Rattus norvegicus: one gene and its partners. The main gene of each other region encodes a partner of the protein of the gene in region 2 in a complex. Links are inferred from orthologs where the notes say so. Each region holds a gene or a part of one and is shown on either strand. Other genes may lie near its edges. The genes, in order: Poglut1, Notch1 and Dll4.

The links.
Region 1: the proteins of Notch1 (region 2) and Poglut1 are in contact, whole or in part, in a crystal structure (PDB 5UB5), measured with the Homo sapiens proteins. The link is inferred for Rattus norvegicus from reciprocal best matches to the Homo sapiens genes NOTCH1 and POGLUT1. Residues at the interface, in NP_060087.3 of Homo sapiens: Asn454, Glu455, Cys456, Val457, Asn459, Pro460, Cys461, Gln462, Asn463, Asp464, Ala465, Cys467, Gly472, Glu473, Phe474, Val485, His486; in NP_689518.1 of Homo sapiens: Met103, Phe104, Pro105, Ser106, Arg107, Asp133, Gly170, Pro171, Ala172, Val173, Trp174, Pro178, Thr179, Gly180, Thr214, Asn239, Gln240, Ala241, Val274.
Region 3: the proteins of Notch1 (region 2) and Dll4 are in contact, whole or in part, in a crystal structure (PDB 4XLW), measured with the Rattus norvegicus proteins. Residues at the interface, in NP_001099191.1 of Rattus norvegicus: Glu415, Leu418, Ala420, Asn421, Pro422, Glu424, His425, Phe436, Pro447, Arg448, Glu450, Ile451, Asp452, Leu468, Asp469, Gln470, Ile471, Ile477; in XP_006234827.1 of Rattus norvegicus: His65, Thr76, Phe77, Asn109, Phe110, Thr111, Pro113, Tyr180, Ser186, Arg187, Leu188, Lys190, Arg192, His195, Phe196, Tyr199, Lys216, Tyr217, Asp219.

What each region holds. Positions count from the first base shown.
Region 1 is NC_086029.1:75,720,991-75,724,636, forward strand, and holds part of Poglut1 (protein O-glucosyltransferase 1 precursor), read left to right. Parts: intron 1-2,165; coding exon 2,166-2,265; intron 2,266-3,646. UniProt on the Homo sapiens protein: Dual specificity glycosyltransferase that catalyzes the transfer of glucose and xylose from UDP-glucose and UDP-xylose, respectively, to a serine residue found in the consensus sequence of C-X-S-X-P-C.
Region 2 is NC_086021.1:29,683,596-29,687,241, reverse strand, and holds part of Notch1 (neurogenic locus notch homolog protein 1 precursor), read left to right. Parts: intron 1-351; coding exon 352-923; intron 924-1,114; coding exon 1,115-1,516; intron 1,517-2,355; coding exon 2,356-2,504; intron 2,505-3,473; coding exon 3,474-3,646. UniProt on the Homo sapiens protein: Functions as a receptor for membrane-bound ligands Jagged-1 (JAG1), Jagged-2 (JAG2) and Delta-1 (DLL1) to regulate cell-fate determination.
Region 3 is NC_086021.1:126,773,900-126,777,545, forward strand, and holds part of Dll4 (delta-like protein 4 precursor), read left to right. Parts: coding exon 1-2; intron 3-1,954; coding exon 1,955-2,124; intron 2,125-2,298; coding exon 2,299-2,518; intron 2,519-3,602; coding exon 3,603-3,646. UniProt on the Homo sapiens protein: Involved in the Notch signaling pathway as Notch ligand. Activates NOTCH1 and NOTCH4. Involved in angiogenesis; negatively regulates endothelial cell proliferation and migration and angiogenic sprouting. Essential for retinal progenitor proliferation.

The DNA of each region.
Region 1 (3,646 bases), on a different chromosome or scaffold from region 2:
TACTTTGTTCTGCTATTTCTGACAGTGGCTAGACTGTCCTATAAGCCTGTGTGTCAGGAGTGCTATAGACCTGTTTTCCTCTCTTTCAGTCAGTTATGGGGACAGAGTGTTCTGCTTTCGGGCGTGTAGTTTTCCTCTCTACAGGTCTTCAGCTGTTCCTGTGGGCCTGTGTCTTGAGTTCACCAGGCAGCTTTCTTGCAGCAGAAAGGGTGGTCTTACCTGTGGTCCCGAGGCTCAAGTTCGCTCGCGGGGTGCTGCCCACGGGCTCTCTGTGGCGGCAGCAACCAGGAATACCTGCACCGCCCCTTCCGGGAGCTTCAGTGCACCAGGGTTCCAGATGGCCTTTGGTGTTTTCCTCTGGCGTCCGAGATGTGTGTGCAGAGAGCAGTCTCTTCTGGTTTCCCAGGCTTGTCTGCCTCTCTGAAGGTTCAGCTCTCCCTCCCACGGGATTTGGGTGCAGAGAACTGTTTATCCGGTCTGTTTCCTTCTGGTTCTGGTGGTGTCTCACGCACAGGGGTCCTGCCGCTCCTGGGCCCTCCCCCACGGGAGCCCAGAGGCCTTATACAGTTTCCTCTTGGGCCAGGGATGTGGGCAGGGGTGGGCAGTGTTGGTGGTCTCTTCCGCTCTGCAGCCTTAGGAGTGCCCACCTGACCAGGCGGTGAGGTCTCTTTCCCACAGGGTCTGGGAGCAGAGAGCTGCTGCGGGCCGGGATCCGCGGGTGTGGGTTTTTTCTTTTTTTTTCTTCTTCTTTTTCTTTTTCTTTTTTCTTTTTTTCGGAGCTGGGGACCGAACCCAGGGCCTCGCGCTTGCTAGGCAAGCGCTCTACCACTGAGCTAAATCCCCAACCCCCCGGCTTGTTTTTCAAATTGCAGTGTTATACTGGACTCTACAATGCATTCACAGCGAAGGCTATTCTGGTAGGCAGCAATCATGTAGCCACACAGCTGTGAACAGCAGTGATCGTAGGCATTGGATGAACCTTCCAAAAAGGAAAACCATTCCCTGAAATAGATATATAGTGACCAGAACATCATTGTCTTAGTTAGGGACACTATTGCTGTGATGAAAAACCATTACCAAAAGCAACTTGGGGAGGAAAAAGTTAATTTCACTCACAGTTCCATATAACAAACAGTTCATCATCAAAAGCCATGAAGGCAGGAACTCACACAGGGCAGGAACCTGTAGGCAGGGGATGATGCAGAGACCATGGAAGGATGTTACTTAACTGGCTTGCTCCTACTGCCTTGCTCAGCCTGCTCCCTTATAGAACTCAGAACCATCATCTCAGCCAGTGGCAGGACCACCCACAATGGGCTGTGCCCTCCCCCATTGATCACTAAAGAAATGTCTTAAGCTAGATCTTATGGAGGCATTTTTCTTAACTAAGGCTCCCTCCACTCCAATGACTCTTGCTTTTAACAGGCAGACATAAAACTAGCCAGTACAATCATACTCTTTAAGATCAGATGCCACCCAGAGGTGGTAGCTTCCACTTAGAATAGCAGTGATTGAGAGTTCACTAATCAGGGTCAGGAATTCAAGGCCACATTTGGCTGTATAGTGAGCTTGAAGGTAGCATGGTGTCTCAGAGTTTTACTGCTGTGAGCAGACACCATGACCAAGGCAACTCTTATAAGGCCAACATTTAATCGGGGCTGGCTTACCGGTTCAGTCCATTATCATCAAGGCGGGAGCATGGCAGCATCCAGGCAGCCATGGTGCAGGAGGAGCTGAGAGCTCTATATCTTCATCTGAGGGCCATTAGGAGAAGGCTGCCCCTCACATGGTTAGGAGGAAGGTCTCATTGCCCACCCCTACAGTGACACACTTCCAACAAGGCCACACCTCCTGATGGTGCTACACTCCCTGGGCCAAGCATATCCAAATGACCACAAATGGGCTATAGGAGATTCTGTTTTAAAACAAACAGTAAACCTAGATGTAAGCAAAGGAAGACTTGACGCTCCCCGTCTTTGATGGGTAAAGCGGGGATAGCCTGAGCAACCAAGATGCTGCACTGGACCCTCTTCCTTCACTGTCCCAGACTCAGTGACTACCTGCCCATCTGTGCCAGTAGCCACCGTGCTGGCCAAGGGCTGCTCAGGGATTGGGAACATTACGGTGTAGGCCACATAGATTTATGTTCTGTATTTTCTCTGTAGGACAAGCCCTGAAAGAGATCCTCTCATTCTTCTCTCTCGGAAAAATCCAAAACTCGTTGATGCAGAATACACCAAAAACCAGGCCTGGAAGTCTATGAAAGTAATCAGCTACCGTCTGAATCGAACCGCGGCAGCGCTGACTCTAAGAACGTTGCCCTCTGGGTAGCGTTTGAGATTAGGTTTCCTCTCGGTGGTGAGATGAGTGCAGAGCAGGCCCCGTGCAGTGGTGCTAGCGTTCGTGTAAACCGCCGTCTCCGGGCCTTGCCCGCTGTGCTAAGTGTCAGTAACCCTAAAGAGCTGAGTTTATAAGTCTTTCCTGGGAGCGGCCAGATCTAACTGTGGGGCTACCCAGGGCCTTACCGCCTGGCCTGCTGTGGCAGCGAGGGAGCAGTGGAGCAGCTCCAGTGCGACTATTCTAGCTATTATTTATAGCCACCAAAATTTGAATTTTGTGTGAAATGGGAATTCCATGTGAAATTTGAATTTTATGTCATTTTTTCTTTCTACTTTCTTTTTCTTCTTGTTTGTTTTTAATTATGAGACGGTGTTATAATGTAGTTCTGGCTGTCCTGGAACTCACTATGCAGAACTGGCCTCGAACTCACAGAGATCCATCTCCCTCTTCTGAGTTCTGGGATTAAAGTCATGTGCCACCACACCTGCATTTCATGTAATTTTCACATATCAAAAATATTTTCTTTCCCTTTTTTTAATTCCAGTCACTTGAAAATGAAAATATCTAGTCCACGAGTTTTATACCACTATGTGGTGCTGTGGGCACCTGACTTAAATGAATGGTTCTCAATGGCCGTAGAGAGCTTAAACAGTGAGCTAAATCTGGGGCCCAGGTTGCAGGAATCCTCATCTCACTAAAATCTGAAAAATGCGGCCTTTAGCTTTGAAGTCCATCTGTCCTGACTGTGACTTCTTGCCTTAAGAAAGAACTTAAAGTCCTAATTTCCTCGTTTGCAATGTCAACAGAGCATATAAGAAGAAAGCTTTAAGATTCATGGAGGGAAACCTCAGTGTATATCTGCAAAGGATGCATTTTTTACATTAGTCTCATTTGTACTTTTTTGTTGTGTTGCTGTACTGGGGTTTGAACCCTTGCCTTAGAATGCTAGACAGACACTGTATCCTATAGCTATACACCATTAGCCCATGACTGTTTAATTTAGAAGTTTTATTTTGTGTATGAGTGTTTTGCCTGCAAGTATGGATGTGCACATATGGATATGTGCCTGGTGACTGCTGGAGTTGTGGACATTTGTAAGCTGCCAGGAGGAAGCTTGGACCTGAGCCCAGCTCCTCTGTAAGAGCAGCAAGAACTCTTAACTACTGAGCCATCTCTCCAGCCTCGTCCTTAGCCTGCCTTACACAGTTTTAATCAAGCAGGAGCAGATGACAAAAGAAACAAAAAAGAAACAAAAAAATGCATAGGAATTCAAGGGCATCCTCAGTTACTGACTTTGAGCCTAACC
Region 2 (3,646 bases):
GCTGCCTTGAGTGGAAGGTGTTGAAAGTCACAGTCTGAGCTGGCACTAATATGCAGGGTTAACACACTAATATGGGTGTTGACACACAGGGATTTGTACACGTACAGTGTAACAGTATCAGCCTTGGGTTTCATGGATCTAAAATCTCCTAGGGTTCTACCCATTCAGATATCCCTCCAATATGAAGCCCTTGGCACTCCTGACCTGCCTGTGGTGAGGACTTTTCAAGGGCCTCGTTACTAGGGCAAGGCTATGGACACCTTTCACAGATCACAGACAGTGGCTGGCCTAGGCTAGAGTGCATGTGACGTCCCTGAATCCATGCACCCATACGTTCTCTCTCCACCACAGGGCTTCGAGGGTGCCACTTGTGAAAATGACGCCCGCACTTGTGGCAGTTTGCGCTGCCTCAACGGTGGTACGTGCATCTCAGGCCCACGCAGTCCCACCTGCCTATGCCTGGGCTCCTTCACTGGCCCTGAATGCCAGTTCCCAGCCAGCAGCCCCTGTGTGGGTAGCAACCCCTGCTACAATCAGGGCACCTGTGAGCCCACATCCGAGAGCCCTTTCTACCGCTGTCTATGCCCTGCCAAATTCAACGGGCTGCTGTGCCACATCCTGGACTACAGCTTCACAGGTGGCGCCGGGCGCGACATTCCCCCGCCACAGATTGAGGAGGCCTGCGAACTGCCTGAGTGCCAGGAGGATGCAGGCAATAAGGTCTGCAACCTTCAGTGTAATAATCACGCGTGTGGCTGGGACGGCGGCGACTGCTCCCTCAACTTCAATGACCCTTGGAAGAACTGCACTCAGTCCCTGCAGTGCTGGAAGTATTTTAGTGACGGCCACTGTGACAGCCAGTGCAACTCAGCTGGCTGCCTTTTTGATGGCTTCGACTGCCAGCTCACCGAGGGACAGTGCAAGTAAGTAAGGCTGGGTCGCTTCAGAGGCCCAGGGCCCAGGAGGCACCAAACCAAATACCAGGAACATGAAGCCACTGTCCGTCCCTTCCCCTAGGGGGGTCACCGAGCACATTTCCCAGGTCTGGCCCAGTTAGGGTGGGTTTGAGGCCCGCAGGCTGGGATGGGACTGACCTCGTCCTGTACCTCCTCAGCCCCCTGTATGACCAGTACTGCAAGGACCACTTCAGTGATGGCCACTGCGACCAGGGCTGCAACAGTGCCGAGTGTGAGTGGGATGGACTGGACTGTGCAGAGCATGTCCCCGAGCGACTGGCAGCCGGCACACTGGTGCTGGTGGTGCTGCTTCCGCCCGATCAGCTACGCAACAACTCCTTCCACTTCCTGCGGGAGCTCAGCCACGTGCTGCACACCAACGTGGTCTTCAAGCGTGACGCGCAGGGCCAGCAGATGATCTTCCCCTACTATGGCCGCGAGGAAGAGCTACGCAAGCACCCGATCAAGCGTTCTGCAGTGGGCTGGGCCACAACGTCACTGCTTCCTGGCACCAATGGTGGGCGCCAGCGCAGGGAGCTGGACCCCATGGACATCCATGGGTGAGTGAGCTCCTGCCACTGTGGGCTGGTTCCCGGTGTGTCCCTGGGTTCTCGAACCAGCTCATCCCTGGAGCTGTGACCTCACCTTACCTTAAGGTCAGAAAGCACCAGGAACGATGAGGCCATCCTTCTGCTGGATGCCCAGTGTTTGCCCGTTGTGACTGTCAGGCCCCACCGTGTACCATGTGTTGGAGACCAGGCTGATGTCCCCTGGGGCTAAGCCATCCTAGGCCAATCCTGCACCTCAGTTGTAGTGACTCATCCATACCACAGAAGAGGAGTGAGGGGTACACAAGGGCGCTCTTGCTGAGCCTTAAAGGCCGAGGAGCCTAGGGTGGCGGTGAGGAGGCAGAGATAAGAGTGTCTCCTGGAGGGGTTGGGGATTTAGCTCAGTGGTAGAGCACTTGCCTAGCAAGCGCAAGGCCCTGGGTTTGGTCCCCAGCTCCGAAAAAAAGAAAAAAGAAAAAGAAAAAAAAGAAAGAGCTGGCTCTCTGGCATCTGAGCCTGCTATTGCCTCAAGCTACCCACTAGGGAGTCACAACTGCATCCCTGCACTTCTGTGGGGCACCAGGCACTGCTCTCAAGAGGGCATTGTATGCCTAGAGGCTATCTGTTCTCTGAAGTGAGGAAAAGGGGCGCTGTGCACCTAAGGGGCAAGGCTGGACAATAGAATGAGCCCCTGCCGAGTGCTAAAAAACTGGGGCTGCAGGGAGACTGTTCCACTGCAGGACTGTTGTCTGATATGCCCTCGGGGGGTCAGGGAGATAGGTAGGGAGTCAGAGCTGTGTGCCCGCAGCACACTGGAGTGTATCTGATCTCACTGTGCTGTGTGTTCTCAGCTCCATCGTCTACCTGGAGATCGACAACCGGCAGTGTGTACAGTCATCCTCGCAATGCTTCCAGAGCGCCACCGATGTGGCTGCCTTCCTAGGTGCTCTTGCCTCCCTCGGCAGCCTCAATATCCCCTACAAGATCGAAGCCGTAAAGAGTGAGTGACCAAGGGCTGGAGGGGCGGCTCAGTGGTTAAGAGCACGGGCTGCTGTTGCAGAGGAGCTGGGTTCAAGTCCCAGCACCCATGCAGCATCTTAATAACTCTCTGTAACGCCAGTTCCAGAGCGCCCAGGACCTTCTGACCTCTGAAGGCACCAAGCGTGCACAGGGTCCTGACATACATGCAGGCCAAACACCCATGCACATTAATTTTTTTTTTTAAATAAGTGCCCTACCCCTGCCAGCCCTGCCTCTTCGGGGATGGGTTCCTTGCGTGGAGGAAAGTCTGAGAGGGTCACAAGCAGGCCATCTCTTCACTCCTTGTGCCCAGTTGTCATCCCCAGCTCAGGAAGTGCTTTTCTGGAATATTTTCCATGGCCTTTCCCCGCTGTGGATGGTGGGAACTATAAGTACAAACTGCCCCCTAAGATGAATACATGTACCAGAAAGTGTGGAGGAGCCTTTCCTCTCTCCCCATTTTCTACCCCTGATTTTTCTTTGTTGGATATTATTTCAAAATCATTACTGGGGTTTTGTGTGTGTGTGCGTGTGCGTGTGTGTGTGTGTGTGTGTGTGTGTGTGTGTGTGTGTTGTTTTTTTTTTTTTAAAGAGAGAGAGAAGAATTGATCGGTGTCATGTGAAGTGTTGAAGTTTGTATCTTGAAAATCCCCCTAAATCCTTTGTCTTAACAGCTCAATGCGAGCGCAGTGATTTGAAGTTCGCTAATCCTCCTTCTCGAAAGGGGAGAAGTGAGCACTGTCTCCAGACAGATCAGCCGGTGCAGAAGAGAATTTAGCGATAGTTTGCAATTCTGATTAATCACGTAGAAAATGACCTTATTTTGGGGGGTGGGATGGAGGAGAGTGGGTGAGGAGGCACTGGCCGTGGAGCCAGTCCGCCGCCCCCCACCAGCCCACAGCATCGCCACGCCTGACGTGGGGTGCTTGCCTGCCGCCCCTGCCCGCAGGTGAGACGGTGGAGCCTCCGCTGCCCTCACAGCTGCACCTCATGTACGTGGCGGCAGCTGCCTTCGTGCTCCTGTTCTTTGTGGGCTGTGGGGTGCTGCTGTCCCGCAAGCGCAGGCGGCAGCATGGCCAGCTCTGGTTCCCTGAGGGTTTCAAAGTGTCAGAGGCCAGCAAG
Region 3 (3,646 bases), about 97 Mb from region 2:
AGGTGAGTGAGAGAAGTAGGGATGCGGTGGCAGGGCCTGAAACTAGAGATGGTGACTGAACCCCTTTCTTGGTGGTCCATAAGTGACTTTTCTATTATTGGTCAATGACAAGTCTCCAGACTGTGTGTGTGTGTGTGTGTGTGTGTGTGTGTGTGTGTCCGCGCGCGCGCGCGCGTGTGCATGCGGGGAAGGTATGAGGTATGGAACTCAGGGTGTCTCACATATTAGGCAAGCACTGTACCTGTGAGCTCTACCACAGCCCACTCATGCTTTTAAAGGCTCTTTACAATGGACCTATAAAGGGATGGTGGGACATTCTTCTCCAGGCCCTGAAGAGCGAGGGTGACTAAAGAGGCCAGGGCTAACAGCTTGGCAGCCTGCAGCTCAAACTCATAAATTCTAGCATGACTAAAAAGAAAGGGAAGCTGAGCTCTGTCCCTCTTTCTGCCTTGTAGTTACCTATTAACCCCCGAGTGTTTGCTCACCTTCCAAGGCTGTTTGAGCAGCTCTCCCCTAAACAGCTGTGTGGTGGGGTGTGCTCGATGGCCACCCTGGGCTGTGGCCAATCTGGGCCTCTAGGTAGAGGGAACATGGAACTGCCTTTTTAGTGTGGCCAAAGCCACCTGCCTTTCCCCAGTGACACTTGCCAGGCAGCTGCCCAAGCTCACATGGTCTCTACCTGATATTTGAGGGTTTCCACTCTTGGGCCCACATAGGAGTCTTTGAGCTCCAACCTTAGAGAAGGGACCTTTTCTTCTACATCCCTGTAGCCAGCTGCATCCTCCCATTTTCAGGGTCAAGCACTGTGCCTGCTGCCATGGCAACACCACATGGACCTGGAGAGGATGGGGAGTGGGTTTGCCAAGCTGGAAAAAGCTTGCCTAGGTCCTGACTTGTTGCCAGCATGGAATTCAGTCCATTCAGCCCTTATATGTTTTTTATGTTCTCTCTCTTTCTCCCTCCCTCCCTCCTTCCCTCCCTCCCTCCCTCCCTCCCTTCCTCTCCTCTCCTCTCCCTCTCCTCTCTCTCTCTCTCTCTCTCTCTCTCTCTCTCCCCCCCCACCCCCGACACACAGAACTTCCCTCCTTTTTCTGCTACACACACACACACACACACACACACACACACACACCTCTTTCCCTTTCTGTCATCCACATTTGCTCCCAGGTGACACAACCATATACTCATTGTCCGCAAACATAACCCTTACAGTCCCTCTGTTTGCTTTGTCTGGCTCTCCCTCTTTGTTTTTCTCCAACAAGAAAACAAACAGCTATCATTCAAAATACACTTTTTTTTTTTTTGGTTCTTTTTTTTGGAGCTGGGGACCGAACCCAGGGCCTTGCGCTTCCTAGGTAAGCGCTCTACCACTGAGCTAAATCCTCAGCCCCCAAAATACACTTTTAACACCTCCTTTAGAAGATGCCTGGTACTGCCTATGGTGGCTCTCATCCCTGCCCCCCTACTCTGTTCACTTGTTGGATTTTAATTCCTCCTTCTAGTCCTTCCAGGCCTGCACCTCCTCTGTAAAGCCTTTCCCGACTTCCTCATTGGCTAGGGGCCTCCTCTTGATCCTGCTCTGACTGGAAGTGTTTGTGAGCATACCTAGCAGGACGCTGACCAATTGTGCTTTGTTTCCAACATTTGTTATATGTATTCAGTCTATATGTAGTTTCAGATGATTTAACACTCAGGATTTCACTAGCAGAGAGTGGAGGGATGCTTGGGCCTTAAACTTTTGAGTTTAAGCTTCTTTGGGCCAAATACAGGGTGGCCTTGCATGGAGGTGGGAAGAGTTCCTGGTCCCACTCAGCTGGTTCCTTCCTGTCTCCACAGATCTTTTTTTTTTTTTTTTCTTTTCTTTTTTTTGGAGTTGGGGACCGAACCCAGGGCCTTGTGCTTGCTAGGCAAGCGCTCTACCACTGAGCTAAATCCCCAACCCCTGTCTCCACAGATCTTAATTACTGCACTCACCACTCTCCGTGCAAGAATGGATCAACTTGCTCCAACAGTGGGCCGAGGGGCTATACCTGCACCTGTCTCCCAGGCTACACTGGTGAGCACTGTGAGCTGGAACTCAGCAAGTGTGCCAGCAACCCCTGTCGAAATGGTGGCAGCTGTAAGGTGAGACCCACATCAGCCCAGTAAGGCACAGGTCTAACCAGGTAGCATCTAGGCAGTCATTGCTTATGCATGCATGGATGGGCACTCTGGACAAGCAGAGGCTAGGCACCAACCTCGTTTATCCTTGTCCTCTCCCCAGGGTCTAACTTTAGCCTGTTTATGTTCTTTCTCCAGGACCATGAGAATAGCTACCACTGCCTGTGTCCCCCGGGCTACTATGGCCAGCACTGTGAACACAGTACCTTGACCTGTGCGGATTCACCCTGCTTCAATGGAGGCTCCTGCCGGGAGCGCAACCAGGGGGCCAGTTATGCCTGCGAGTGTCCCCCTAACTTCACTGGGTCCAACTGTGAGAAGAAAGTTGACAGGTGTACCAGCAACCCCTGTGCCAATGGTAAGCCCTTTCTCTCACCTTACTATCCTGATGAACTGGCCCCAGGGTCAGAGAGCCTGAGAGAATCAGGAGGAGAGAGACCTGTCTGCTGCTCTGGGAAGACTGACTGAAATGGGCTCCTCTGTGCTTTGGAGTGTGAAGAGCTTTATGCATTAAGCAGGGTAGGGCTTTAGAGAAGGAGGTCAGCAATGGGTCATAGGTGAGGGTTAGTGTCCATCCGCCTGATTTCTATTCTTATTTCCATGGATGAGCCTTGACCTGATGAGGCTAGCTTGTGACCTTCTTGAGCAAGCCTTGAATTAGAAAGAAGGATGTTGAAGGCTTCACATCCCTTCTCAAGGAAGGCCAGTGATGGTTAGAGCTCTGTACCTTGAGGCCTCATCTTCCCTCACACTCCCCTAGAATAAGTGTAGCACAAAGAATCTGGAATACCCAGAGCTTTTTGATAAGTTAACAGAACACGTTGGTAATCTTTGTACACTTAGTCAGCAGGTGATGGTCTATGAGACAGGCAGGCAGCCACTCAGGAGCCAGCAAGGGGCTGGGAGTGGCAACACAATCTGTTCTCACTCAACTCCCTTGAGCCACAGTTTCATCATTCCTGAATGGGAAAATGAAACTAAGTGTCTTTGGTGCGAAGATTAAGTTAAATTGTAATTGCACCTGCGGGATAGTGAGCGCTTCCTGTGTGTGGTTCTACCTTGTGTCTTTCCCTACCTGATCCTCAGAGCTGCCTGTGAAAGGATCAAATTCTCCAGTTTAGCAGGTGAGGAAACCAAGGCTAAGGGATCAGGTAAAGCTACAGGTGTCGGATCCCCGGCTAGAGAGATCAGGCCAAGCATATCTGTCTTACCCTAAATTCTTAAGATGCCAGTAACTATTATCCAATAGCCTACGGAAGCATGGAGAGCAAAAATCACGGCAATCTCCAGGGCTTTGGAGCCTTTGCACAGTTCTCTTTGTAGAGAGCTCTATGTTCATGCAGGCTGAACACATGGAGGTAGAAGAACTCATGGATGAGGCCTCATTCCCTTCACCGGGGAATTCACAGGCTATTGCTGACTTAGGACCTGTGTCCTTACAGGAGGTCAGTGCCTGAACAGAGGTCCAAGCCGGACCTGCCGCTGT